Mus musculus: one gene and its partners. The protein of the gene in region 1 interacts with the protein of each later gene in a pairwise test. Links are inferred from orthologs where the notes say so. Each region holds a gene or a part of one and is shown on either strand. Other genes may lie near its edges. The genes, in order: Mid2, Trim54, Slc25a48, Spg21, Zfp24, Utp25 and Hoxb9.

The links.
Region 2: the proteins of Mid2 (region 1) and Trim54 interact in binary tests that used the Homo sapiens proteins (3 or more experiments, as listed by UniProt). The two-hybrid records come from large-scale screens. The link is inferred for Mus musculus from reciprocal best matches to the Homo sapiens genes MID2 and TRIM54.
Region 3: the proteins of Mid2 (region 1) and Slc25a48 interact in binary tests that used the Homo sapiens proteins (3 or more experiments, as listed by UniProt). The two-hybrid records come from large-scale screens. The link is inferred for Mus musculus from reciprocal best matches to the Homo sapiens genes MID2 and SLC25A48.
Region 4: the proteins of Mid2 (region 1) and Spg21 interact in binary tests that used the Homo sapiens proteins (3 or more experiments, as listed by UniProt). The two-hybrid records come from large-scale screens. The link is inferred for Mus musculus from reciprocal best matches to the Homo sapiens genes MID2 and SPG21.
Region 5: the proteins of Mid2 (region 1) and Zfp24 interact in binary tests that used the Homo sapiens proteins (3 or more experiments, as listed by UniProt). The two-hybrid records come from large-scale screens. The link is inferred for Mus musculus from reciprocal best matches to the Homo sapiens genes MID2 and ZNF24.
Region 6: the proteins of Mid2 (region 1) and Utp25 interact in binary tests that used the Homo sapiens proteins (3 or more experiments, as listed by UniProt). The link is inferred for Mus musculus from reciprocal best matches to the Homo sapiens genes MID2 and UTP25.
Region 7: the proteins of Mid2 (region 1) and Hoxb9 interact in binary tests that used the Homo sapiens proteins (3 or more experiments, as listed by UniProt). The two-hybrid records come from large-scale screens. The link is inferred for Mus musculus from reciprocal best matches to the Homo sapiens genes MID2 and HOXB9.

The regions. Positions count from the first base shown.
Region 1 is NC_000086.7:140,663,632-140,667,755, reverse strand, and holds the start of Mid2 (probable E3 ubiquitin-protein ligase MID2), read right to left. Parts: upstream 2,801-4,124; 5' UTR 2,482-2,800; coding exon 2,478-2,481; intron 1-2,477. UniProt on the Homo sapiens protein: E3 ubiquitin ligase that plays a role in microtubule stabilization. Mediates the 'Lys-48'-linked polyubiquitination of LRRK2 to drive its localization to microtubules and its proteasomal degradation in neurons.
Region 2 is NC_000071.6:31,130,112-31,133,611, reverse strand, and holds part of Trim54 (tripartite motif-containing protein 54), read right to left. Parts: intron 2,571-3,500; coding exon 2,398-2,570; intron 1,625-2,397; coding exon 1,453-1,624; intron 1-1,452. UniProt on the Homo sapiens protein: May bind and stabilize microtubules during myotubes formation.
Region 3 is NC_000079.6:56,462,355-56,465,854, forward strand, and holds part of Slc25a48 (solute carrier family 25 member 48), read left to right. Parts: intron 1-1,148; coding exon 1,149-1,391; intron 1,392-2,600; coding exon 2,601-2,734; intron 2,735-3,500.
Region 4 is NC_000075.6:65,459,497-65,463,736, reverse strand, and holds the start of Spg21 (maspardin), read right to left. Parts: upstream 2,801-4,240; 5' UTR 2,583-2,800; intron 1,037-2,582; exon of another isoform or gene 833-1,036; intron 1-832. UniProt on the Homo sapiens protein: May play a role as a negative regulatory factor in CD4-dependent T-cell activation.
Region 5 is NC_000084.6:24,018,014-24,022,176, forward strand, and holds the start of Zfp24 (zinc finger protein 24), read right to left. Parts: upstream 2,801-4,163; 5' UTR 2,699-2,800; intron 2,358-2,698; exon of another isoform or gene 1,819-2,357; intron 156-1,818; 5' UTR 75-155; coding exon 1-74. UniProt on the Homo sapiens protein: Transcription factor required for myelination of differentiated oligodendrocytes. Required for the conversion of oligodendrocytes from the premyelinating to the myelinating state.
Region 6 is NC_000067.6:193,113,252-193,116,751, forward strand, and holds part of Utp25 (digestive organ expansion factor homolog), read right to left. Parts: exon of another isoform or gene 2,405-3,500; intron 1,771-2,404; coding exon 1,588-1,770; intron 1,467-1,587; coding exon 1,354-1,466; intron 752-1,353; coding exon 506-751; intron 1-505. UniProt on the Homo sapiens protein: Component of the ribosomal small subunit processome for the biogenesis of ribosomes, functions in pre-ribosomal RNA (pre-rRNA) processing. Essential for embryonic development in part through the regulation of p53 pathway.
Region 7 is NC_000077.6:96,270,188-96,274,129, forward strand, and holds the start of Hoxb9 (homeobox protein Hox-B9), read left to right. Parts: upstream 1-1,142; 5' UTR 1,143-1,354; coding exon 1,355-1,871; intron 1,872-3,942. UniProt on the Homo sapiens protein: Sequence-specific transcription factor which is part of a developmental regulatory system that provides cells with specific positional identities on the anterior-posterior axis.

The DNA of each region.
Region 1 (4,124 bases):
GCAAGTTGCCCTGTTTTTAGAGGAGGGATTAACCAAACCAATTTTATCTAAGTCAATTTGCGCTGTTCAGATGATATGTTTGTGAAGCAACCAAGCCACTCATTTGCAGCAAGTGCCTCTCAGAAGTGGTCTTGCAAGGTACAACATGCTAAGCAGGAATCCCAGTAGTCATGAAAGTAAATAGGAGAGACAGCTCTTCATGTGCCATAACCCTCTCTCCCTACTCCACACATCACCCACCCTGACTGCATCCTAGCCATGGAGCCATGGAACTGTAAGTAGAGTTTAGCATAGGGCAAATATGAGCCCAAAATACTGGGTCAAGGGCAGGTCCTCACTCAACACAGACAGCAGAGGCTTCTGTACATTAAAGGTGCTTTGAAAAATATTGACTCACTGCTGCTAGGTGCTAATTTTGCTTATATAGCCAGACCTAAATGTATCTATATTACTTTTATTGGTCATTAACTAACTCCCCCCATGTAGACTAAAAAAATGGGTGAGGTTGAATATTCAAATGAGTCTGACTCACATTGTTAGGGTAAAGTGTAATCAATATGATTTATGACTCGACTTAAAATCATCACCATTACTTTCTATGCCTAATTGTATATATGTTTCCATTCAGTTGCATATACATTCATGAAACAAATTGACTTAAGATCTAAATTACAATGATAATTTGAATCTCAAGGGAACTAATAATGGCAAATTAGGGTTCCTGTAAATTAGTGTTCCCATTTATACCCAGTCAATCCAGTAACCCAATAAAGGATAAATGAAGTGCTTTCATTGAAGAGTATAATGCTGAGGTTTATAGAATCCTTTTATCTTCAAAGGACCAAGCCAATACTCACAATACCCAGTACACAATATTATGCCTTTTATGCAAGTGAAGCAACTGTGAAAGAGAGGTCATACAAATGTCTAAAGGCCTTAAAGCCAATGCAACGTCACATCTGGAATGAACTCTCTGATCTTCTTGGCTTCCAGGCTTGTGTTTCAACCACATGAAACGAGTTTTGTAAGGAACAATCACGAGAAATCTAATTCATATTATGAGTCTGTGTTAAGCTAATTGATTGAGCAGGAATATATAAAAATAGCAAAGATTGATTCTCCCTTGGGGCAGTGATGAGCAGAGAGGAGGAGGTTAAAAAAAGGTGGGGATGCTGGGATAGGAATCTAGGGTACAGCAAAAGCTCCCCAAGCAGAAGTGAGCAAGAATGTAAACTCTCCATTTAGCAACTCCATCTTCTATTGGAATAGTGTCAGAGATCTGATTCGATTTCAGAGAGGAAATGGAATGGGATTAAAGTCAACTCTTGTGGTCCAATTCGAGAATCAGATTAATTAATCCCCACACAATAGTTGTGTACTATTACAGTTTCCAATGTCTTGCTTCATAAATACTCCTCCTTAGAGACAGACACACAACTAATGCCATTCAGCAGCCCCACCCTCCAAAATCTTCAAAAAAAATCAAAGTGATTGAAAAGCAAGAAGCCGCATTGCACAGGTTGACAGAGAAAAGCTGAGAGTGCAGGAACTCTGGTGGGAGATGTGGGGGCTTGAATAGAGACAGTACCTAAGGAGTGTGGAAGAGTGGGGAAAGTGAAGAGTCCAACAATCCCTGGATCCTAATTTCCTCCTCTAAATCGAAATGCCTCCTAAATAAATAAATACTATGCTGCACGTGAAGTGCGAAACAACCCAAGCCAGCTCATAACCAGTAATGTTCCAGTAATTTTTATGAGCCCGGAATGGAAAAGGCTCCCCTGTCCCTGCTTCAGTCGCAGTGTGTCCTATGGACACACTCAAGTTTTTCCCTCTCCACCCCCCCCCCCCCCACGGGGCTGCTTTCACAGCTAGGCCAGAAATAAAGAACCACCCAGACAGAGACCTGAAGATCGTTTCCCCAGCAGGGAGGAAAAGGGGAGGGAGAATTAAGTTTCTCCCGGGGTTCCCGCTCGCAGGGTGTCCACAGAATCTCAGGCTGCTGCGCCAGCACCACTGAGCCAACCGCCGACCTCGGGGCGCCGCCCGGGCCGAGGACGCCGTGGATTTCGGGAGCGTGGGAAGGCGGCTGCGCCCTTTCCCAGACTTGCGCCTAGGCGCCACGAGAGCTGAGCCGCTCCACTGCTTTCTCCCTGCTCGGCCTGGCCAAGCGGGAGGCCTCGGGCCGGTCCCCAGCCTGGGATCTAGGAGTGCAAACTCCTTCCCAGGAGGGCAGCGGCAGGAGCTCGGGTCACAACAGTGTGACAGACAACCGGGGCCCTGCCATTGCCGCCAGGACCCCGTCTCCCCCCTCTTGCCGCCCCCCCCCCCAAGCCCAAGTGTCCTCGGCCAGTTCCAGCCCCGGCGGCACCTGAAGAGCAGCAGGAGCCAGCCAGGGCCAAGCCCGGCGCGGGCGGCGACACTAGCCACCCCACCACCACCACCATCCCCCCGGGCCTCGGCGAGGGGACGCGTTTTACCCATATTGTTCCCGGGTGCCAGCCATCTCCTACGCGCGCCGGGGAGCGCCGGGCGCTCGCCGGCCTCCGCAGCAAGCTGGCTCGGGCTCCCGTGCAAGCTCCCGGGCCGCTGTCGCTGCTGCCGCCGCCGCCGCCGCCACCACCACTCTAGGCCGCCGCCCGCCTTCGCCGCTGCGGCCGCCGCCGCCGCCGCGCAACAGCCGGGATCCGCCAGCCCGCGCGCCCCACGGGGGACAGCACGGAGACCGCGACGTTCCCGCGTCTAGGTCTCCCGGGCTAAACTTAAAGAGTTTTCGCCTCTCGGTCCAGAGGCAGCACCATGACACCACCGCAGCACCACACTGTCATTTCCGCCGCAGCAGAGGGAAAAAAAAGGCAATCCCTTCGAAAGGAGGGTGGAGTGGGGGCAAGCAGAGCCGAGGCTGACACCCTACGGGAGCACGGGGAGGGGCCGGGCAGAAGGGGCGCTGGGCCACCTTCCTAGGCTCACCTTCCGCCGCCCCCGCCACTCCCAACTCCCCGTGCCCCTCCTCTGGAGGCGCGCTTACATGTTTTCTCCCCTGGCAGGAGTGACCAGAGAAACCCGAGCAAGCAAAGGCAGTGGGTGGGTGGGGTTCAGATTACTACTGTACCTACCAGCTGATTCCAGCAGCCTTTTCTCCAGCACCCTGTCATCTTGATGGAAGACACAGGGAGAAGGGGCCTGAGCAGGCGCGCACGAGCGTGTGTGTGTGTGTGTGTGTGTGTGTGTGTGTGTGTGTGTGTGTGTTTGCGCGTCCACGACCGGGTGGTGTGTGTGAAGCGCAGAAGGAAGACTGTGGCCAAACTCTTCACCCACCTACCTCCCTTCTACATCCACAAACCCCCAGATGAGAGCAAGGAGAAGGCTGTTGCACTCGCCAATGAAAAGAGTGTGCCTGGATCCTCCTCACAGGTCCTACTGGTGAAGCTGTTGTATGCAAAGTTAACTAGAGAGTAAAACAAAAATAGTGGAGGAGACAGAGAAGGGCAGACAATTGAAGGAAACCCAACCCCTTTTTCTTTTGACAAAGGGAGAATGGCAATGTTCTATTGGACTTGGGCACAAGTTGTTCAGGTGGATTAAAGCCACTAAAAGTGTATGGGGTAAGGTTTCTTTTGCACCTTCAGATCCTTGACCAATACAAAAGGGTCACTGCCAAGAGGACAATGAGGCAGATGCTAGCCATCCAGAATACAATGTCCCTAATAAGATCCATTTGGAAGCCAGGAGCCTCCCATTGGTCTGGATACAGCCTGTCTTTTAACCTATCACTGGCTCAAAGACTACCACCTCCCCCCAACACACACACACACACACACACACACACACACACACACACACTTAAAAGGTAGATGAGAGAAGGAAGCCACCTCAGAGGATATTCTTTCTAGCTCCACTCAAAATGAGGAAGGAATAAAGCAATCCGAAACAGCCCCTCTCACATGGGCCTCCCATTACTGTGCTTGGGAACAAATCCAGAAAAAAAAATGAAGGTAGATGGGTGTGTCTTATCAGGGAACCAATAGCAGTCAGCCAACAGCACTGTTAAACAAACCTGCTAGAGAACACTGGAGTGGAAATGAAGGGAAAAACCCAACCACATTACCTAAAAGGAAGTACAGCAC
Region 2 (3,500 bases), on another chromosome or scaffold:
TTAGTTTCCACTCAGTTCTTTGTCAGATCTATGTTCAGCTTGCTTTGCTTTGGTTTTTCTTCGATCGGGCCTTTTCATGTTATCCACACTGGCTTTGAATCTGTTATCCTCTTTCCTTGGCCTCCCTAGTAGCTGAGATTACAGTGTTCGCCACCACAACAGGCCACTGCTGCTACATGGTCATTTTGCACTTTTGTTTTTTTTCAGTTCTGGGGATCTATCCGGGGCTTTGTGCTAGGCAAGTGTGCTATATCTCCAATTCTACCTTTTGTTGTTGTTGATGATGATGATGATGCTGTTGTTTTATTTCATCTTTTTTTCTATTTTTTTATTTTTTAAGATTTATTTGTTTTATGTATATGAGTACACTGTAGCTGTCTTCAGACACACCAGAAGAGAGCATCAGATCCCATTACAGATGGTTGTGAGCCACCATGTGGTTGCTGGGATTTGAACTCAGGACCTTCTGAAGAGCAGACAGTGCTCTTAACCACTGAGCTCTCCAGCCCCACTTTATTTTTCTTTAAAACAGGGTCTTTCCTTATACAGCCCAGGCTGGCTTAGAATTCTTTATGTAGTCTAGGCTGGGCACCCAGCATCCTGAGTGCTAAGACTTACAGAGTGCTCAACCATGCCTGACATTATTCTATCTTCTTAAAAACATCGTGTACATTGCAAGTTTCTGTTCTTTAATAATTCCAACATCTCAATTCCCTGAGGGTTTGAAGGGTTTCTGCTAATTGCACTCATGTGGTCCATTTCTCTGTGTATCTTCCATTGTGATTGTTGTGTTGATCTTAATCTAAGGGCCTGCATTGAAGGCATCTTCTTCCAGCTTAACATCTGCATTTGTTTCTGACAAGAACCAGGTGATATAAACGACTTCTTTGATATCTTGGGACTTCAACACAAGCTGAGGTTTGGGGAGTCTTAAATGCACCTCTACCTACACATGTTTTGCAGGTTTTGCGGCATGGCCTCTATCTCTAGCCTGTACTGAGCCAGCATTGGTCATGTGATGAATGTTATCTCTCCTGCCTGCAGGGGCTCTCTGGACCTGCCCTTCCCACCTCCCACCACCACCCCCCATCCCCACCTTCCTAGGATGCCCTTCTCCTCTCAAAGGCCAACTGGTGTGATCTTAAAAATCTCAGCATATCTGGAAGTTAGCTGTGTAATTTCACACTCTTGAGCGTATCTGGTCCTTTGGTGGATACCGTCCTGAAGTGGCTCCCGTTAGATATTAACTAGCTGATGCTGTGGCCATAACCATTGTCTTCACCTTGCCTGACCAGAGAAGGCAGTCAGGGTCAGGGAGGTCAGGTAACTGCCTCAGGGTCGTGTGCAGAGTAGAAAGCAGAGCTGGGGATTTGCCCTGACCACCCCTTACCTAAGTACAGTGAGAACTGCCCAGTCCTAAACCCTTTTCCCGACCCCTCCCTGACTAGATACCTTCTGGCGTTTGTAAATGGTGGGCAGAGGGGCCACCTCACAGTCCTTGTGGGCGCCGAAAACCTTGCAGAGAGAGCAGGTGGGCACCTCGCAGCTCAGGCAGTAGATGTTGATCTTCTCGTCCTCGTGCTCCTCACACATGAGGTGCTGTTCAGCCTTGGCGTGCAGTGGCCTGAGGATCAAGGGCAAGGCAGCAGCGACTGTCAGGGAGCCAGACTGTGACCAGTGGTCGGAAACTTACACAGCGTTCTCACTTTGGGGAAGAAACGATGCTCAAAGGAGACCTGGACCCAGGAAGAATCTATTCCAGGGGACAAAGATGTCACGCAGGACAGGAAGTCATGGGAGCTGATGAGGTCAAGAACATTGAGGTAGACTTTGGTCCCAGACCAGGAGGAGGGAGTAAGATTGAACAGTGTTTCCAGAGGCAAAGTCGGGCCTCCCTGGAGGCCTCCCCTCCTCCCTAGGTCTTCTTTCCCCTTTGTTGTCCTCCTCCCTCTGCTGGGGGGATGTCAGCTTACACAGACTAAAATCATCTGAGAGGAAGGGACTGCAATCAAAAAAATGTCTCCAAAAGATGGGGTTATAGACAGCCTGTGAGGCATTTTCTTATTTAGCCATTGATGGGGGATGTTGATGGGGGAGCCCACTGTGGGTAGGGCCATCCCTGGGCTGGTGGTCTTCGGTTCTATAAGAAAGCAGGCTGAGCAAGCCATGAGGAGCAAGCCGGTAAGCAGCACTCTTCCATGGTCTCTGCATCAGCTCCTGCCTCCGGGTTCCTGCCCTCTTTGAGTTCCTGTCCTGACTTCAGGAATGTCTATGATGTGGGAGTGTGAGGCAAACACAGTGCTCCACAATAGCAATGGAAACCCTAAACTGCCCCTCTATCCCCAAGGGTGCAGGCTCTTCCCTCCAGAGAGGCCAGCAGCCAGGCATCTATCTTACCGGGAGGACTCCTGCTTGTAGATGTCAATGATGTTCTCCACTAGCAGGTTCCGCTGCAGGCCATAGACACCATGCCTGTCCAGGACAACCTCGTGCCTACAAGATGGGCATCGGAAACGTCCTCCTGAAGACACCGTTGTGGAGCCCCGGGATTGCCACAGAGGATTAGAGGCCTGAGAAGACAGGTGACAGGACACTAGAAGTGTAAGGAGGTGTGAGGGAAGGCAAGTGGTGAGCTGACACGGGAACATTAGGTCTTCTCTGCATTTGGTGTCCCCAGACAACACTCTGACAGACGATTTCCTGCCTTGGCCTCATCCCTCAGCTCAGCTCCTTGAGTGTCCCCGCACACAGAGCCTCACTTTGGCCCAGGCCTGATCACTATCTTCAATGGAGTCCAGCATGGGGCTTTGACAGGAATGCTAACTGTAGGCAAGAGACTGGCAGTATAGCCAGTGTCCTCCAGCTTGGACCCTTATGAGCACATGTAAGGTGGTGCATATGTACATGTGCATGTATGTTTGGCAAGATAATATAATCTTGTCTCAAACTCCACGTGAATGGAAGATAACCTTGAATTCCTGATCCTTCTACCTTGACCTCCCAAGTATTGGGCTTATGGCTCTCTCTCTCTCTCTCTCTCCCTCTCTCTCTCTCTTTCTCTCTCTCTCTCCTCTCTCTCTCCTCTCTCTCTCCCTGAGACAGGGTCTTATGTAGTCCAGGCTGGCCTCAAACACTCTGTCTAACTACCTGCCTCTGTCTCCCAAATACTGAGCCATGAGAGTGCTTCTCTTTAGTCCCGGGAAGAGTCACACAACTCAAGTGCTGAACAGGGACAGAGGAATTGCAGCCAGGCTCGGGATGTGGCTCAAGTGGTAGAGGCTGCCCTAGATTTGATCCCCAGGGGCAGAGTGGCGCACTTGGGAGGTAGAGGTAGGCGGGTCTGCTCCATAGGAGGTCTAACATCATCCTCAGCTACATAGGGAGTTTGAGGGCAGCACAGGATGAATGAGACCTGTCTAAAAAAGAAAAGGAGAGAAAGAAAGGCTGGACATGGTGGCACTGGCGGCTTAGCTGAGGCTCTTTACACTGTGTGTCTTAGA
Region 3 (3,500 bases), on another chromosome or scaffold:
GAGGATGGTGGGTAGCCTCTGGGAGGACCGGATGGCAGAGCGACTACTGCTCTACTGTTTTGTATACCCTCAGACAAGCTAAGAGAAAACAGACCACAACCAGCCAGCATAGACCCCCAAGCTTCCAAGTGTTGTTGGGTATCCACCAGAGAAGAGTGTTTGGGTATAGGTTTAAGCCAATAGAAAGTCTTTATTAGACTACACTTGGTGTTTGGTATTCTACTGTAGCCTGAGCCTTTTTCAGGGTGAGATTTTAAGCACAAAACCCAGATCTTGGGTTGACACACTTTAGCTAACAAGAACAGAAGCAGAACTGTAGATGTCAAACATCAAGGTTCCTACATTTAAGGACTTCCCAAAGCTATGGACTTTGGTGAATTAGGTCTTTGTTTTCATTTTGGCAGGTGGTGCTCTCCGCATGCTGAATTTTACAGCCTGAATGGCACTTCCATCATGGAGAAGGTTATGCTAAGGTCTGGGGCCTGTTACAAAAGGAAACAGAATCCAGGGCCCTTGATGTTGAGGGTTATTGATGCTGCCTTGCAGCTGTTTTAGGGCACAGCCCAGGCCAGGGCTGGCATGAGTCAGAACACGTCCATCCTCTAGCCAGCCAGTGGACCCTACCAATGACTATCAGCTGCTAACTTATTGAACCCCACACTGTTCCAGGCAGCATGTCAAGGACTTGGCATGTGACCTGACTTGTATCCATGACTCTTGATCTGTCTTTTACGAACTAGAAAACAAGAGCAGAAAACGCCGACATTTGTTAAGTGGTGGAGGAAGGTTTGCATCCAGGACAGCCTGGTTTCAAATAATTTGACTATTAATTCCCCATCAAGAGAGAGCTTGACTTGATTGTCTTCTTTCTTCAATCACAGCTGCTTAGAAATGCATAGGGATGGTTGACCAGAAGACTGTGAATTCCAGGGCAACTTGGCTTATATTGTCTCCAATCTGGTTGCCAGGGCTCCTTTCTGGAGACTCAGAATTCTGGTATAAGTTGCCAAGGGTGACAGATAGTTTGGTAAAAATGAACGAGCCACATGAGTGGGAACTGTCTGTTAGGAGACTGGCTGTGGTGCCAGCGGCTGGCCAGTCTCTCACGTGCCTGGTCATTTGGCACCATCTCCTTCCTGTCTTTTCAGCTAGCCATGGATTGAAGTCCAGGGCGGTGGCAGCATACCAGGGACCAGTGCACTGCATTGCAACCATTGTGCAGATGGAGGGCCTGACAGGGCTGTACCGGGGAGCCAGCGCCATGCTGCTGAGAGACATCCCGGGATATTGCTTCTACTTTATTCCCTATGTGTTCCTGAGCGAGTGGATCACACCTGAGGCCTGCACAGGGCCCAGCCCCTATGCAGCTTGGCTGGCAGGGGGCATTGCAGGTAAGGACCCCAGCCACGGAAGTCCCATCCCTGGGTCCTGGGCCTGCCACAGTAATGGTAGAGTATAGAGGAGCCTACCACAACTTTCCCGGTCCTAAGGAGATGGGCCTCATCCAGCCAAATATGCAGGAGCCTTCCTTTCACTGACTCTGTGCCACACCTAGTAGAGAGAACGGCCCTTTGACCTCCCAGATCCTTCTCTCCAGGGCTATGAGAGTCTCTGTGTGAGTTCACTGGACTTTGAGGCAATGGGTGCATTCTAGCATGTTCTCTGTGGCAGGCATTGCTGAGCTGCTATGGGAGAAGCTATTATCTCTGTTCACTTTTGCTAAATGTCAGGCTTGTTAGGTACGGGGGTCAGGGGGATCCAATCTCCGCATTGCCCTGAGATACCCAGGGGTCCGACAGTCACAGAGATCCAAGGCTAGCCACACTTGCTCATTTTGTCACCTGGGCCACAACCCCAGTTCATTCAGAGGGAAGTCAGCATGCACTAAGTGGTTTGCCACATGCCTTCTTTGATGTGGCTCCCTACTGCCTCTCAGGCCTCCTCCTCCTCCTTCTCCTTTTTTCCCTCCTCCTCCTCCTCCTCCTCCTCCTCCTTCCCCTCCTCCTCCTTTTTCCCTATTTCCCTAACCCTTTAAAGTCACACAAATGCTCAGACTGGAATTTTCAAGCTGATCCTGCAAGGACGACCCCTCTGTGTGTTCTCTCAGTTTTATGCCACAGGTTTAAAGACGATTTTACACATTTTCCATTTTCCCAGGCTGGCCCTTCTCAGTGATCAGTCTTTGTGACAGACGGGCTTTGTTCAGTTCCCCCAGACTCAAACCTAGCCATAACTGCAAGCCTTTGGTCACAGGTCTCACGCTGGGCTCTCTCTGCCTGCTTGGGAGACTACAGAAGCAGTCGCTATTCCACTGATAATGTTTCTGTGTGGGGAGCTCCGACATGGTCCGATCTCTTGCTTCAGTCTCCTGCCGGCCTCATAAACACAACTCTGCTGCCCAGTTTACAGAGGAGGTGTGGGAGGCTTCCACTAGGTCCACGAGTGGGTGGAGAGAGAGGATCAGAAGTCATGTTCCCCCACCACTTATGAGGATGGGATGGGGGAGGGGGCATTGGAGGACAGCATCTTCAGGAAGCCAGGCCTTGAAGACCCAAGACAGACAGAAAGCTCTGACACAAGTGGTTTCTCTGACTTCCCAGGGGCAATTTCCTGGGGGACAGCAACTCCAATGGATGTCGTGAAAAGTCGAATCCAAGCAGATGGGGTCTATTTAAACAAATACAGAGGAGTCGTGGACTGCATCTCCCAGAGTTACCAGCAAGAAGGCTTTAAGGTAAGCTGCACGCAGCCGCCCTGGGTCAGCAGCAGCCTGGCAGAGGGTGAGGCTGCTGCTGGTGAGGCTAGAGGAGGATACTGGGAGAGCAGGTGCTAGAGGTTACCAGCCTGTTCTTGGTTAAGTTTGTAGATGGGACCTCTCCCCTACCCCACCTCCTGATTTCTTTGTCAGCAAGTTTATTTGTTAGTATATAGAATCACTACTGGATTTTGTACCCTGATTATTTGCTCAAAATATGGATCAAGTTTTGGGGTGGAATACTTTGGTTTTTAAGGATAAGATCATGCTAATCTGCAAATAGGGACAACTTGACTTTTTTTTTTCTATTTATATTCTTTATTTCCTCTCTTGTCCTGATACTCCAGTGAAGACTTCAAACACTGTATTGAACAGGAGAGGAGAGAGTGGACACCCTTGTCTCATTGTAGATTTCAGAAAAACGTTCTCTCTGTGTGTGTCTCTCTTTGTCTCTGTCTCTCTCTGTTTCTCTGTCTCTGTCTCTCTGTCTCTCTCTCTCTCAGTGTGTGTGTGTGTGTGTGTGTGTGTGTGTGTGTGTAGCCAGTCTTGCTTATTGTTTCAGAGAACCAACTCCTTGACTGATGATTTTTTTTTAAATTTCCATTTCACTAATTTTTGCCCGGACCTTTACAATTTATTTATATATTTATTTATTTTACTGCTCACTGCTTGGGGGTTTGGCTAATTCTTGTTTTTTTTTTTTTTTCTCTAAACTTTGAAGTGCACTGTTAGGGTATTTATCTCT
Region 4 (4,240 bases), on another chromosome or scaffold:
ATGAACTAACCAGTACCCCCAGAGCTCGTGTCTCTAGCTGCATATGTAGCAGAGAATGGCCTAGTCCGCCATCAATGGGAGGAGAGGACCTAGGTCTTTCGAAGAGTCTATGCCCCAGTATAGGGAAATTTCAGGGCCAGGAAGTAGGAGTGGGTGGGTTGGGGAGCAGGGGGAGGGTATAGGTGATTTTTGGAGAGGGGATAGCATTTAAAATGTAAATAAAGAAAACATCTAATTAAAAAACAAAAAAAAAAACTAAGCCATTTAAACCATTTTTAGCACATCTTTCACCATTTAAAACTGCTTTATTTGATAGCTTCATACATTTATGTAGTACATTTTAGTTAATTTAACTCTCCTGTCTCCCTTTAAGTTATTACTTTAAAATAAAAGCAACTAGCGGCATATACAGTTAATCCTGGAATATTTTATATCAGGACAGACTTGAAATACCACCACAGCATCTGTGCACTTCCAACTGGAAACATTTTCTAGAATGTCTGCAGGAGGGAATATTAAAGACAGGCTAAACAGCCAGGTGTGATGGCACACATCTTTAATCCTAGCCCTCAGGGGCGGACAGCTAGCTCTCTGGGAGTTCAAGGCCATCCTGGTCTACATAGTGAGTTCCAGGCCAGCCAGAGCTATGCAGTAATAGTAAGACCCTGTCTCAAACACACAAAGCTAAAACATCAATCAACTTGTTAAAGTTTACTTCTAGGATCGACCAACTTACAAAAAAAAAAAAAATTATCCACAGTTTTAATAAGATGCCACTCACAAACCAAACTAGGTACAAGCACACAGGCAGGCACACAAATGAGCTACCTACTTCTTTCCCACAGTGGCCGAAGGGTAGTCCTTACCGGGTCTTCAGTATAACTCACAAGCAGCTCAGTACTGACCACATTGTAACTAATCTTGATGCATAAGAGTTCCTACACAGCTGTGAGGACACTTTTGCAAGGACAGGTGATTCTAACACTTGTGCTGGTTGGGTGGTGAGGAAAGGTGAGACAGTTACCAAATGTTGCCAAATGTTGCGTAGGACCAGCTGACGGCTAGGAAGAAAAAAAAAAAAAAAAACCTGCTGCAAAGCTAAAGCAGCTGTGAAGGGTATGAAAAGGAAAGTTTGTTCTAGCTCTCTTTCATCCACTTAAGCCGGATGCTTTTCCAAGTCACAAGAGAAACATTCTTAAAAAAAAAAAAAAAAAAAAAAAAAAAAAAAAATCTGTGGCCCAGAAAGTTAGCTGAGACTGTGACCAAACTGGTCAGGATGAAAAGAAACATGGGCAGTGTGTTCAGGACAGATTTGCTTTCTCGTGACTCTGTTCTTTACAAAAAACAGAAGCACCTGTTCAGGCTGGTGAGGAAAGAGGCAGAGATAAGCTTTATCAAGGAAACCCCTCCTCCCGCTGGCCAGGATGCTAAGGCTCCCCAGCTCTTCTTGGACCTTGCGTTGCTGGACAGTAAGTTGGCTAGTTGTGAGAGAGCATGTACTTGGCCTTCAGAGTTTCAACAGAACCTGCAGTTCATAGCTGAGGAAATCGCCTCTACAAATGTTTAACACACGGTCAGTCACATATTGCTGGTCCTTTATCTCAATGTATAGGTGTCTTATATAGGGACAATCTGTGGTTGTTAATACAACCAATTAAAAAGGTTATTAGAACTAGAGAGCCTCTAGGTGACATAACTATGGTTCTCGGTGTTGGGGAACGCTCACCATGGGCTTTTACCACTGAACTACACCTAAGGCCCTGCGGCGGGCTGTTCACTACACATCTTCATCCTTCACCACACCTATATGTATTAAATAGCCATCTTTTTGGAGATTTCTTCAGGTAAGATTTATCCTTTCTCCAGGAACCTATCCACTTCTCTCTAAATATCATGAGAGGAGACGCTGCCCGCACATCTTTCTCTCTGACCACTCGTTTCAAGGTTCTGGTGTAAAATCTTTTTGAAAACTCATACACAGCTATTAGACGGCTTCCCAATGTGCAGAATCCTTGCAAAAAGAGAAGCTAGACCACTGCAGATGGAGACAAAACAACATCAGCCCCTAACTTCTAACTCCCTGGGAAAAGAAGAAAAAAGGGGGGGGGGGTTTCTCTCGCCCTGCTACACTCTTCATGACTCTTTCACAGGCCTCACACCTAGTCTGAGGTAGGATCTTTAAAACAACTCTACTCGCAGCCCTTAAAAGTTGACTGAAACCAAAATGCTCCTGAATTTCTGCCCCAGGATGGGTGGCTCAAGAAAATGAGGATGTCTGACTAAGGATTTTGGGCACCAATCGCCATAGGGGCCGCCCTGGGTTCCACCAGTTCAGAAACAACAACAATCCGCAATGAACCGAGGCTGAACCTTAGACAGACCCACAGGCACAATCGGACACACACAGGCGCCCGCGAGAGCGCACCACACGCACACACAGAGATATGGATCACGTGCATGGTCACAAGGACCTGCCCACTCGTGAACTCTGCTCGTAAGTCACGCATGCTCGATACACGCCCACCTACAACCCTACACGCACCACACACCCACACTCTTGCTTTCCAGGGCCTGCCCCTCACCTGCCGTGGCCGCTCCCGCGTCCCTTTCTTTCCAGCCTAGACGGATCTTCGCCCCGATTTGGGCGCAGAGGATGGAGTCGGCGGGGCGCGGACTGGACCGGCGGCCGCAGATCAGGAGCCCCGCGGGAGCAGCGGGCAGAGGGGGCGCGCGGCCGAGCAGCCAGAGGCCACCGCCTCCCAGCTTTGGTACTGCGAGCTCCCCGGGCGCGCCTCCCGCTTCCGGGTTCCGAGGAGGCGGGACCAGATGGCGAGGAAGGGGCGGGGCTCTGGTGGTTACTATGGCGACGGGGCTGGCAAGGGAGGCCCTGTTCTGAGATTTGCGGTGTCCTAGAGGCTGTGGAGGCTGGTGGTGGATAAGGGTCAGTTCTTGGTCACTTCTGACAGGAGCATGGAGGAGGAAGTGAAAAATCTAGGCTGTAGGCCCCGGGGATGTGCTTCTGACTTCGGTTTTTAGGCGTCTTCATGCTTTGGTGGGGAGACACTTTTGGTCCATAGCTTTGGTGAATAGGCCTTGACATAGTCTTTTTAAAACATTAGTATATATCAGTTCATTACAATGGCTTAATTAGGACATTTTGATACCTATATAAAGAATTTGGATCATCACCCTCCCTTAGTCTCTGCCTCCCATGTCCCATTCCCCTTCAGCCTCCCAACTGCATATGCTTTCTCAGCAAAATTGTTTTTACCTTTTGTATAGACGCTGTCCTCTGACCTCCTTTCAAAGCCTTGTCTCCTTTTATGGCTTTGTGCTGATGTTGAGGGGGTATACTCAGCGCTGGTTTGCCCTCTTCTGTCAGGCACAGTCTAGTCACTGTTCTTACGAGAGATGTGGCAGATGCCACAACACCTTTCAGTTAGCTTACAGCTTTGCTCTGAAATAATGCATAATAATATTGAGTGACCTGTCAATCTTGTTTGAAAATTTGTAAGGTTCCTAAAGCAAGATCCTAATGTTTTAGGGACTTTTAAAAATATTTTTTATTATTATTACTTTTAATCGTGTGTGTGTTTGTGGGAGAGAGAATATATGGTGCACATGAGTGTAGTTTATAAGGAGGGCAGAGGAGGATCCTAGAGCTGGCATTACAAGTGTTTGTGAGTTGCCTAACACGGGTGTAAAAGTAATATGTATTCTTAACCTCTGAGCAATCTCTCAGCCCCCACGTGTGTGTGTGTGTGTGTGCGTGTCCCTGTGCCTGTGCATGTACGTGTGCGTGTGTGTGTGTGCGTGTGCCTGTACGTGTGTGTGTGCGTGTGTGTGTGTGTGTGTGTACGTGTGTGTGTTGATGCCTGCTGAGGCCAGCTTTGGACCCCCTGGAGCTGGAACTGCAGATGATTAAGATGGATCAAGCCTGACTGGGTACTAGGAACTCAGCTTTGGTCCTCTGGAAGAGCAGTAAGTTTGTTAACCACCAAACCATCTCTCCAGGCCTAGAGAGCACAGACGAAAACAATGACTCAAAAAAACAAAAACAAAACCACAAAACAACCAAACACTGATCTATGGCTCAGGAGTCTTAGGTTCCAGTCTAGAACTTAGACAAACACCAGACACATTTTCCCCAATGCATAGTGATGTCTCGGCTCTCAAAAAGGTGAGGCAGAAGGATCTCAAATAGTGGTACTGTATCTCAAAGCTAACTGAATTGTTCAAA
Region 5 (4,163 bases), on another chromosome or scaffold:
CTCAGAATTTTTTCTTCTTCATCTGGATTTGGGATGATAAGTATTGAATCTTCTTCCACTGACTGTGCAGACATTCTGTTACAGTACTTCAAGAAAAGGCAATGGAGGCAAGGTATACACCTCAGAGAAATACCCTGTTTTCCTCAAAAGTACTCCTAAGGTATAAGAAACAGAAGACACATAAATCACCAAGTATCCCATGATATTCAAAAGCAGCAGCAAAAAAGATATGCTGTTTTACTGGATTAAAAATTCCAATTAATAACCTATAACCTATACCGATTGAAATTCTAACATAGCTGCTAAATTATAGCCAATCTAGCCTGCTGCCTATTACAGCATCCATAGTAAAGTAGTGTAAAAATTTTAATGACTAAAAAGCACAGAAGCGTTTCTTGTTGAGAAAATATGATGTATCTGTCCAGGATCAGCAGGGTCACTTGGTTGGCCAAGGCCTGCTGCCGAGCCTGCTGACCCGAGTCCGATGACCAACAAGTACATAAGCGAAAGCTTACTTCTGCACAAGCCGGACACGACGTGTACACCCCCCCCACACACACACACACAAATAAGATGTAAAAATGTTTTTTTAAAATGATTTATGGGCATTGGTGGTTTTTCTTGCATGTATGTCTGTGTGAAGGTGTCAGACCCCTTGGAACTGGAGTTACACACAGTTGTGAACTGCCATGTGGGTGCTGGGAATTGAACTCAGGACCTCTGGAAGAACAGCCAGTGCTCTTAACCACTAAACCATCTCTCCAGCCCCATTAATATGTTTAAATTTTGTGTATATAAGTCATTAAATTTAATTGTGGTTCAGGCTATAATGGTAAGAGTTGACAGCATTCAATGATTTCAGCTAAGATCTAAAACAACGTAATATTTACTATCTTGTCCATTCTTGGAAAAAAAAAGATTGCCAATCTGTGACATATGGTCAACCAAAGGTAATTTAATAACCTAAGGAATCCAGGTAAGAAGCCATCTATCTCAGTGGTCTCCAAATGCTCTGAAGCTTGGGACTGGAAAGCTGGTCCAGCAATTAAGAAGGTGTTCCCTTGCAGTGGACCCTGGTTTGTTTCCAGCACCACAAGCCTCTCTCTTCTAACCTCCTTAGGCACCAGGCAAACACGTGGTACAAATATACATAAGATAACAAACTAAACATTCAGAGCGGTGGGACATGTATAACTTTTTTTCCCCCATTTATTTTGTGCTGGAATGCATCAGCACAGGCGTGGAGGTCAGAGGACAACAGGCAGGAGTTAGTTCCTCCCTCCTGCTATGTGCAATCTGGGATCTTAGGAGCAAGGCCCCTACCCGATGAGCCACCTAGCCCATCCCACTTTTCTTTTCATTTTTTGCAAACCTGGAGTAGGAAACAGATCAACCACAGCCCCAGCCCGAACCCCCCGGATTAGAGACTTATCCAGGGACCTTACACACCCTCCTCTACTGCTGAGCTAACTCTCGGAATTGTGCATAAATACTATGTTGTTTGTTTAGGAACTCCCTAAACTTAAAATATATGTGAGAAATGTTCACTAGTAGCTAGCTATGTGTCCTAAATCTGTAACCTCAACACGGAGGCAGAAGCAAGGTTATCCTCGTCTACATGGCAAACCCAACCTGGGCTAGTAGATCTGTCACAAACTCTGCTTTACACAGTTCAGTAACCGATCGCATAACACTGCGGAAGAAGCTATTTCACATAACATGCAAATGTTACTCAGGCATCCACCACACCATATATACATTTAAACTTACAGTAACAAGTATCAGCTGCAGCAAATTCTATTAGGAAAAAGCACTTACAGTTCTCAGTGGACAGGAGTCTTTTTTCCTCAGTCAGCTTCCCTAACTTTTCCTTCGGGGAAATTTGAACTACTTTCTGGTCCTTTTGGTATTTGCAAAATCATAACCGTGCCACGGATAACAGCACATAGACACTCTTAACTCTACAGCTACTGTTTAATCAATCAGAGCCAAGAACCAAAAAACCAGAAACTTAACAAAACCTTACTGAAACCGGTCAAGGTGAAGACAAAGGATGAGAAAATGCTGTATCAAACTGACAGGTCATATAGATAAGAGTGGGATGGCCTGAGAACAAAATCCAAGTTATTTGTTCTTATTCCTGGAGCCGACTCTTATCAACAGCTCACGTATTTCTACATAACAGAAACTGCTTTTTCTTTTACTTTGTACTGCACCAAGCTCGTGGAATGTGCAATCCGGCACTCGGCAGGATCCAGGTCTTCAGCGACCTCCCGCCTCACAGCGCCGTGCCCAGCCTGCCCCAGCAACTCGGCCGTCCTCTTCCCAGCATTCACCAGGAGGGCCGCAGAGGCCCCGCCACACTGGACAGGCACTTCCGCCCGGGACCAGCAGGACTACAAATCCCAGTAGGTGGTGCGCGAGAACCGCCGGATCCCACTTCAGCTTGAGCGTCTCCCAGAATCCTACGCGAGCCGCCAGAGCCTCGAAATAGAACAAAACCGGCCCGTGGGGGAGGGGAAAGCAGGGCGGCGAGGATGCGGGCGCCGGGGGCTCTGCGGACCCCCGAAGTGCAGCAGGCCGCCGCGGCCCTTCCGCCGCGGCCTTCTGTGCGCACGCCCGGGATGCCGAGCGACGCCGGCCTCCCGGCCCCTACCCGCGCCCTCCTCCTCGAGCCCTACCCCCGCGCGCCGCTGACCTCTGGCTCGGGACCCGCCGCAGCCTCGTCGTCCCGGGCAGACGCAGCGCCGCCGCTTCCAGCCGCTTCCCACAAGCCCCCGGCGCGCACGGCTTCCGGTCCGCAGGACGGGGGGCGGGAGGGAAATGGGGGAGCCGATGCCCGGGGTTGCCATGGGGACGCGCGGTGAGCGGGGGAGGTGCGGCTTGATGACAATGGCCGCATTGAGGCTGCGCTTGGCCTGGCGCCTTTCGCAGAGTGACTGTTGCTCTCTGTTCCACTCCAGAGAAAGGAGAGGGGAGCAAGAGGGACGTGGGCGGCAGTTCCACGAGTGCCCGGTACTCCTCTCCGGAGCCCTCTGGTTAACTGACGAAAGAGAACATTTCTGAAAGTGTGCTGTAATCGGGTCAACCGCAGTCGCTACGTGTAAATCGGTTACATTGCCCCCGCACCCTATAGTGTTTGCTACTTAGGAGCTTTGGGCCCTGACACAAGGTTTGCCTCTAACCATGCCTCAAACCATCGTCCTCCACTAGCTGTGTCTCAGAGACTACGACAGGTTATCAAAGAAACAAGATGAAACTAGTTGAGGCCTTTGGCTAGTCACAGAGAATTGCAGAATACACGCATGCTGGTTGTTTAAGGCAGCTGCAGGTGTAGTCACTTAGATCGCCGTATTCCCCTTTTTAAAGTCCTCTAGTGGATCTCAGCTACCTTAACTATTGACAGAAATTTGTTACGTTGTCCCGTAGGTTGTCTATGGTCTGTTGCCTGCCTTTTCCTTCTGACCGTGATTGTGCATGACTCTTATTAAGCATGGGACTTATTGTGCAGCCTCAGCCTCACTGACCAATGAATGCCCTTTCCTCCAGGTGGCCTCCATATGCTTGTGGCCACCCTTAGAAGTGATCTTCTAACTTAGCTGTGCTTTGTTTGAAAGTCCTGTAAAGTTGGGTCCTCTAGGTCCTGGTTAGCACAGTACCCACACCTAGTTTCTGGATGCTGACTGGTACATAGAAAACTCAGTAAGTACACTTTGAATAAGTGAATGAATTGTAGGCTGGTCACATTGCATGAGGCCTTTGCTAGGTCACATGTCAAGTCTCAGAAATCGCACAAAAGAGCTCTGTTTTGAAAATACTCTTGTAAGAAGCATAGGTCAAGTTTGCAGAACATTGAAGCGGTCCTCAGGCTTTGCCCTATTGTCTCATTCAGGAAAGGGCCTCTGCAGAGTGTCCTCGCCTCTGCTCCCGTAGTGAATGAGAGAGCAGTAAACAGGCAGCTGACAGAATAGCAAGACTCAACGTTCCAGCCGGAGCTCACCTTCCCATAACCTCTGGAACTTTCCTCTCTTCACTATGAGACTCTAATACAGCCTTTTTACCCTCGGGTTTGGCTATAGCCAGAATCCGGCTTGGCTGGTCTCTGCAGCCTTTTCTCTATTGTGACTCCTGAGAGCTAACTCAAAGCATCTTTTTGTTTCTTT
Region 6 (3,500 bases), on another chromosome or scaffold:
ATTATTAACTAACAAGCAAATTAGGATTTAAAAAGCAATAGCAAAAAGTAAACAAGATGTTCTGTTAATGACCTAGCAGTAAATCTAAGCACCCATTGAAAAACTAAAATGTATTCAACCCCGAGTCCCTTGAGATTTTTCCACTACTGTTATCAAGGGGTAAGACAGAACTTTCCAGGGGAAGACAGCCACCTGGATATGCTTCCTCAGGGATGCAGCCAATACTCAGCCTCCACCTCCCCAAGCTCTCCTGTGCTGATCCTGTTCTGCTCTTCAATCGTTCACTGGCTTCTGTGAGGTGTTGGGACCACAGCTGCATTCCAGACCACACAGGGCTCAAGCTTTGGTTTCTAACCTTCCCAGCAATGCCCAACCAACGAACCACCCACCCACTAACCCACAATACAACCCCTGTGGCTTTCCACAGAGCAGAAGCAAGGGACGCATGTACAGCCCCACAGAGCCTGCCCAGGTCCTTCAGTGGGTGGAGCCTAGACTGTCTTACCTTTTGTAGAAATGGAAGCGTTCTGTGAGGAGCAGAAACTGCTTCTCTCCTTGCAGAAAGAAGTGTCGAGCCCTGGAGATCCCAGACTTCTGCGTATACTCGCAGATGTGTGTGAAGTTCAGCTCTTCTTTCTTGAAGTAATTTCGGAGACGCACAAAGTCAAAGTAGGAGGGGACATAGATGAGTGTGTGAGACATGACAGCATCCCGGTACTGAGGCAAAATCTTGTTTATGAAAAAGTGAAACCTGATTAGGAAAGGCCAAGGACAAGGTTAACATCTACAGCTGAACTCACAGTAGGGCACCAACAGTGTGGGTCAGCAAGGCATAGCCCAAGAGATGCCTTGAGGCCAAAGACAGCTTCTTTTCAAAGACCCTCTGAGGATAAAACTGATAAACACGTAGGAAATGAAGTCCTAACAGTTAAGTGTAAAGGCAGATCAGGTTCCATGTATGCCAGAGAACTAATGTAGTTCACACCAGCCCCTCATTCACTCAGCGGCAAATAAGCCTTGCCTGTCTAAGACATATGCCCACAGAAGGCACATGTGGGGAACCAGACAATCTGCTCTTCTCTGAAGGGCTTATAATTAGGTCAAATGGTATGGATTATTCCATAGGCCACAGCAGCAATGGTGTGATTTTGCCGTGTCCCAACCTTGCTTCTAGCTGTAATATGAAGACCAAGCCCCAGTTTCTACCTGGCTTGATTCCTTCTCTGTCAAGGGCCTGGCTGAGTTCAGTTTGGGGACCTAAATTGATAATCAGTAATCACTCAGAGTCCAGTGTTAAATACGCATCCCAAACCAGATCTCTAGATGAGGCTCTGTGGGTGTGGGTAGCGTTACCTGGCATCGATCACTGAAGATAGGTCTTGTGCTTCCATTCTCTGGAAGACGTGAGGGAGCTGCACCAACACATGACTGATGGAGCCCGTCATGGGGACATTCCTCACAGCCACCTGCCAGGAGGTAAGAACTTCAGGAGGCAGGCAACCTTTGTTGATCACATGCCATTAACTCTGGCACTTCATGACCCAACCTAGTCTACGCTTCAGGACAATCCGAGGACACAGGACTCACCTGGCCTTGAGCATTGATGCAGTGCTTGTTGAACACAGAGTTGATCTGGGCATCCTGCAGGGCACCAAAGAGCAGTGTCTGTCGGTAGTACTTGGACCAGTTATTGAGGCTCCACATTCGGACTCTCGAGAAGTCCACCCCGTGTGAGTCCAAGGGCAGCAGGTTCATGTGGTTCATCAAATGCTTGGTGCAAAATACCAGCACATTAGTGACTGCAGAGCACCCATAAACACCAGCACATTAGTGACTGACTACAGAGCACCCGTAAACATTATAACCCATCATCCCCGTACCCCATGAGGTATGTGTTAGCGTCTCCCAAATGACAGGAGAAAAGTAAGGCTCAGATGGTGACCTGCTCAAGGTCAGCTGGACACTCTAGTAAGACAAACTGGTCATCCCCAGGCCCTTCCGAAGAACACAGGCTACTGGAATTCCTTTACAAGGAATTTTCAGAACTAGGCATAGTGGGGCACTCTGGAACTCCAGCAGTCTGGAGGATGTGAGGCCAGGATGGGCTATATAGTGAGCTTGAGACCAGCTTAGGGTGCAGAGTGACACTGTCTCAAAGACCACAAGAACTACTGAAGGAACCAGTGGGAGGGAAGAGAGAGAGGACAGACTGGGAAAACACAGCAAATATGACACACAGGCGTGAGAGGTCACAGAAAACCCCTCACCTTACACATTAACAGAGAAAAAACAGTAACAAAATACACAGTGTAAAGAAACATGGCTCATGTAAAAAAGGGACTCGTGAAATGCAGACTGGTTACTTTGGGGGCTGCTGTCCCAGACTTGGACAAAAAGGGAAGCCACATGGGAAGCAGAACCTCTGCCCTTCAATGACTGAATCTCAAAATACCAGTGACAGGGATGGTCTAGCGACAGACTTTTGCCCACCATGCCCAAGACCCTATGTTCAATTCCCAGAATAGCAAACAACAAAAAAACTACAACAGTACCACTAGCTCTGCCTCAAATTAAAGAATATGCTATCACCCATCAACAGACTTTTTCTGGGTTTTCTTTCTTGGGACAAGGTCTTGCTGTGTAAACTGGCCTGGAATCCTGTAGTCCAGTCTGGCCATGACCTTACTGTAATCCGTCTCCACTTCCCGCACCTCAGGCTTACAGGTGTGAGCTGCCACACCTGGCTTGCCTTATTCATTCCAGCTGCATTTTAACACACTGTAGGACACACTCCAAGGGTCACAACTGCTACAGATTCATTTTCACTTTGTAAGTATCAACTGTTGTTGATGTACCCAAACTTCCTGTAAAACTCTTAAGTCTTTAGGTGGAAGCAGAGGTGAGCTATCATCTGTCTTAGAAGAATCATAGGTCTGAGATAAGAATAGTTCCACTGTCTACAAAACTTGAGCTTGAGAAGAAACACTTCCCAGGAAACATGGTCCACGTAGGAAATGCTAGTCAGGGCTGAGAGAGCGCCCGTTGTTCTTTCAGAGGGCCTATGCTCTATTTCTAGAACCCATACTAAGTGGCTCCTTTCTAGGGGGTCATATGCCTTCTGGAACAGGAACACACACACATACACACGACATACAAACTAGCAAATGAAACTTCTAAATTTCTAAAAAAAACAGAGGCTGGAGAGATGGCTCAGTGGTTAAGAGCACTGACTGCTCTTCCAAAGATCCTGAATTCAAATCCCAGCAACCACATGTGGCTCACAACCACCCATAATGAGATCTGATGCCCTCTTCTGGTGCATCTGAAGACAGCTACAATGTATAATAAATAAACCTTTGGATAGGAGGAAGCAGTGACTGAGTGAGTGGAGTTGACCGCAGCAAGCAGGGCCGACCGGAGTGAGCAGGGTAGACCAGAGCAAGCAGAGGTCCTAAATTTAATTCCCAACAACCACATGAAGGCTCACAACAATTTATACA
Region 7 (3,942 bases), on another chromosome or scaffold:
AGGATTGTAGGCGAGAAGGCGGCGGGTGGGGGAAACGGACTGATGCCGGGGACTCCTCTGTACTTGCTACCGTCCTATGTCAGTATTTGGACCTTTTCCAGAGCGGCAATTCCGGGTGAAAAGCGCTAGAGTGCTGAGAATTTAGCTGGCCTCTTTCCCTTTTTGGATGGAAAGGAAGGTAACCCGGTGTTCCTTACTGTGCCGTTTGGGGAGTCTTCTTCCCCTTCTCCTTTAATCATTTCCCACATTAGCCCTCTCATCTGGACATTTTTAAGGGTCTCAGAGATTCCTGGATGAAGGACAAGAAATGACCATGGACCCAGCCTTTCACAAAGGCCCAAGAAAAATTTTAAGGAGTTAAACAAGACTGGTTAGTCTCCCGAAACTCTAGTTCCAGGGCCTGGTGTGTCTCTTTGGCCTTAGGCAGGCTATAATTTCAAGACAGATAATGATTCTTTGGACACTAGTCCCCTTTCGCCTCTCTCAGCTGCTAAAGGATCAAGGGAAGAGCCTAGTCACGTAAATCTCCCCAAATTGTGCCCTGAACCCCCTCCAAAGAGGATAACTGTCCTATAAAAGCCCCAACTTCTTTCTCATCCTTTTACTTCATCTCCTGTGGGTCGCTGTACTGCTGTTGTTTAATAAACATCTCTGTCAAGGGGACAGAGGACAGGAAATGAGGGCCCGCGGGGTGGAGGTGGAGGTGTTGGGGGGGGGCGACAAGACTACCTCCTCTTTAATTACCCTGTCGGGCCTCTCCCGCAGCTCTGAGGCTGGGGCGCTCTCCCTCCCTGTATGCTGGTCCTCCCCCCCCCCCCAATCTGCCTGGGGAGAGGGCTCCTCAGCCTGCGTCCCTCCTGAGGCAGCCCGCTGCTTGCCTCCGCCTCTCCTCCGCCCCCATCGCCCCATGTTGAGAACCCCCCTTCCTGTAAAAGCGGGAGGGGCCCGGGCGGCCCGGCAGCTCAGGCTGAGGTTACGTGGCCGCCGGAGCCCTGACGTGATAGCACATTGCATCAGCATAAAACAATCCATCCTGGATATGGAATGCGGTGAGGACGGATGACAGCGCGAGCGCAGCCCCCTCGCCCGATTGATTTATGTCGGAGCTGACGCTTTATCAGGCAGTCCGCAAAACTTTGACCAATCATTTTGCAAGGAGCTCCGAGCCGGGCTGCTCCACTGTACTTTGTTGGCTGAGAAGTTGAGCAGGGGGTGGGGGTGGGAGGGTGGGGGTCTGGGGGGGGTCGCGTCCGAAAGCCCTCTGCACCGGGTCCGTGTGCCACCTTTTCCCTGCTTGGGCGCCGCGGCGCGAGCGCTTCCCTTCCCCCTGCGAGCGCGCGGATAATGTCTGAGAATGTCCATTTCTGGGACGCTTAGCAGCTATTATGTCGACTCGATCATAAGTCACGAGAGCGAGGACGCGCCTCCAGCCAAGTTTCCTTCGGGCCAGTACGCGAACCCGCGGCAGCCGGGCCACGCCGAGCACCTGGACTTCCCCTCGTGCAGCTTCCAGCCCAAAGCGCCGGTGTTCGGCGCCTCCTGGGCGCCGCTGAGCCCGCACGCCTCGGGGAGCCTGCCGTCTGTCTACCACCCCTACCTGCAGCCCCAGGGCGCGCCGGCGGCCGAAAGCAGGTACCTCCGCACCTGGCTAGAGCCGGCGCCGCGCGCCGAGGCCGCCCCGGGGCAGGGCCAGGCGGCCGTGAAGGCGGAGCCGCTGCTGGGCGCGCCGGGGGAGCTGCTCAAACAGGGCACGCCCGAGTACAGTTTGGAAACTTCGGCGGGCAGGGAGGCTGTCCTGTCTAATCAAAGAGCTGGCTACGGGGACAATAAAATTTGCGAAGGAAGCGAGGACAAAGAGAGGCCGGATCAAAGTAAGTTATAAAAAAAAAAAAAAGTGAGGAAATCCCCCCCAGGCTGCAGGCCAGGCCCGGGGGAGGGGAGGGGAGAGGCCATAAAGCGGACAATGTAAAGGGACAGAGCGCCTGGGGCCGCAGGGCTAGAGTGGGTGGAGGGAAGAGGAAGGAAGGGGCTGGCAAAGCAAAAAGCTGGGTGTCCAGGAGGGGGACACTGAGGCTACCCCCCACTCCTCCTTGTGGCGCAGGGACTGAGACTCAGGGACCAAGTCTCTCTAGTCCTTCATTCTTCCCCAGGCTCGGGCTGGAAAAAGGGAGAGGGACCTGCGATAGAACTGTAGGAGGCCGGGCCGATGGCCAGCGCGGCCCGGAGCCCGCGCGGGCACGGGGCCGAAGAGCACTCGGCAGAGCCGCCTGCGCCACGCGCAGACCGTCCCTGCCGGCCAAGGGGAAGGGGGAGGGGGCTCATTAGGATTTTATTTGCGATGCAACAGCTTGGCGGAGGATTGTTCCTAGCAGATCTCACGCAGTAGCCGCGTCGGGTCGGCAGCAGGCGCCGGGAGGGGCGGGGGAAGCCCAGGATGCGGTGACGGAGCCCCCTCCCCGGTGCGCCGGCCCCTCCCCGGGAGCCTTCCCTCCGGGGGTCCCCCGCCCTTCTAGGGCATCCTCGACAGGACGGCCGTTTCTCCTCCTGCGGTTGCACGCTGATCTCCGCGGGGCTTCCGATCACTTAGGCCGGGCAGTTCACCTCTCCGAGAGTCTAGGCATCACTTGCTAAAGACAGGGCCTCCCTCTAGAATGGAGGAGAAGACACCCAAAGGGACCCCGGGGGAGGGAGGGGGAGGACTGCGCAGGGGCGGAGAACTCTACCCTTGGTGGAGAGTTTCTTACCACCTCCCACTCCTAAAAGCACCCTTGCTAAAATAAAACCCCAAGTGGAAACTGCTGCTGGCTGAGAGTAGAGGAGGCTTACTTTTAGGGGTTTGTTTTTAAGGATGGGGAAGACAAACTGGTTTGGGGCTCGCTCTTGGTCCCAAACAATACGGGACAAACTGACAGGTCAACTCCTCACCTCTTCCTCCTCTGGGCAAATAGTTTGGTCCTTGCTCGCCCTATTGGATGCCCCACCAACAGAGAGGCCAATGGGTCCTCTGGGGGCATGCTTGCCCTCTGAAAAGCAAGGAGAGACACTATTCCCCTGTGACCCTTGTGGTCCCCTCATACCTCCAACTTGCCAGGCTGAGTTATTAAGGAGCTCATATCCCCAAAACAGCTCCTCCCAAAGCTCCAGAAAACACCCAAACAGACCCCTCACCCCATGGCCCCAGACTAGGCCTGAGTTGCCCATCATTGCAAGGCAGCCATTTGGCTAGGCTCAATTATTAACAGTTTTTTTTTTTGTTTCCTCTTTCATATTTAATGAAAGAGGAAAAGGCTGCGGGTCCCATCCCAGACAATCACATTAAGGGAATAGCGCTGCAAATTGGCAGGACACGCTACTTAGTGTAGGATGAAGTGAATTTTAAAATATACATAGATATTCAGAGCTTTTCACTTGGGGGCTAAGCTGGTGGAGTGGATCTTGCTTGTAATTGGCTCTGCTTTGGGAGGCAGGTAACTTTTCTGAGTCCCGAGGTCTAAGGAGGGATGCTGGACAGAAAAAGAAAAAAAAACTGTATATGTTATTTGCTCTTTGTGCCCCTCTTCCACTCAATTACACCTTTCTCTGCCTCTCCATTGGGTCCGTTAAAAGGATTGGTATGCTGGGAAGGGCTTTCTGTCGTCCCCCCCGCCCCCCGCCCCCCCCACCTCATCTCTGCTTCTCTATCTTAGAGCTGTAGCAATTTTGCTTCCCAGTTTCCCTGAACTTGTGTTAACCAAACTGTGAGCTGAGTAGCAGAAAAGAAGAGGCTATTGCCACCATAAGTTATCTGGAAGCCCTGGGGCTCCCCGTCCACGGGCTGCAATTGATAAATGGTTGCAATTGGGTTGCTTGTGAGTCGGAGTGTGCAGGGTGTTCATGGCTGTAAATGCAGACTCTTATTTGTGGTGTGTGATGGGGAGGGCTGCTACCCAGACTCACATGTCT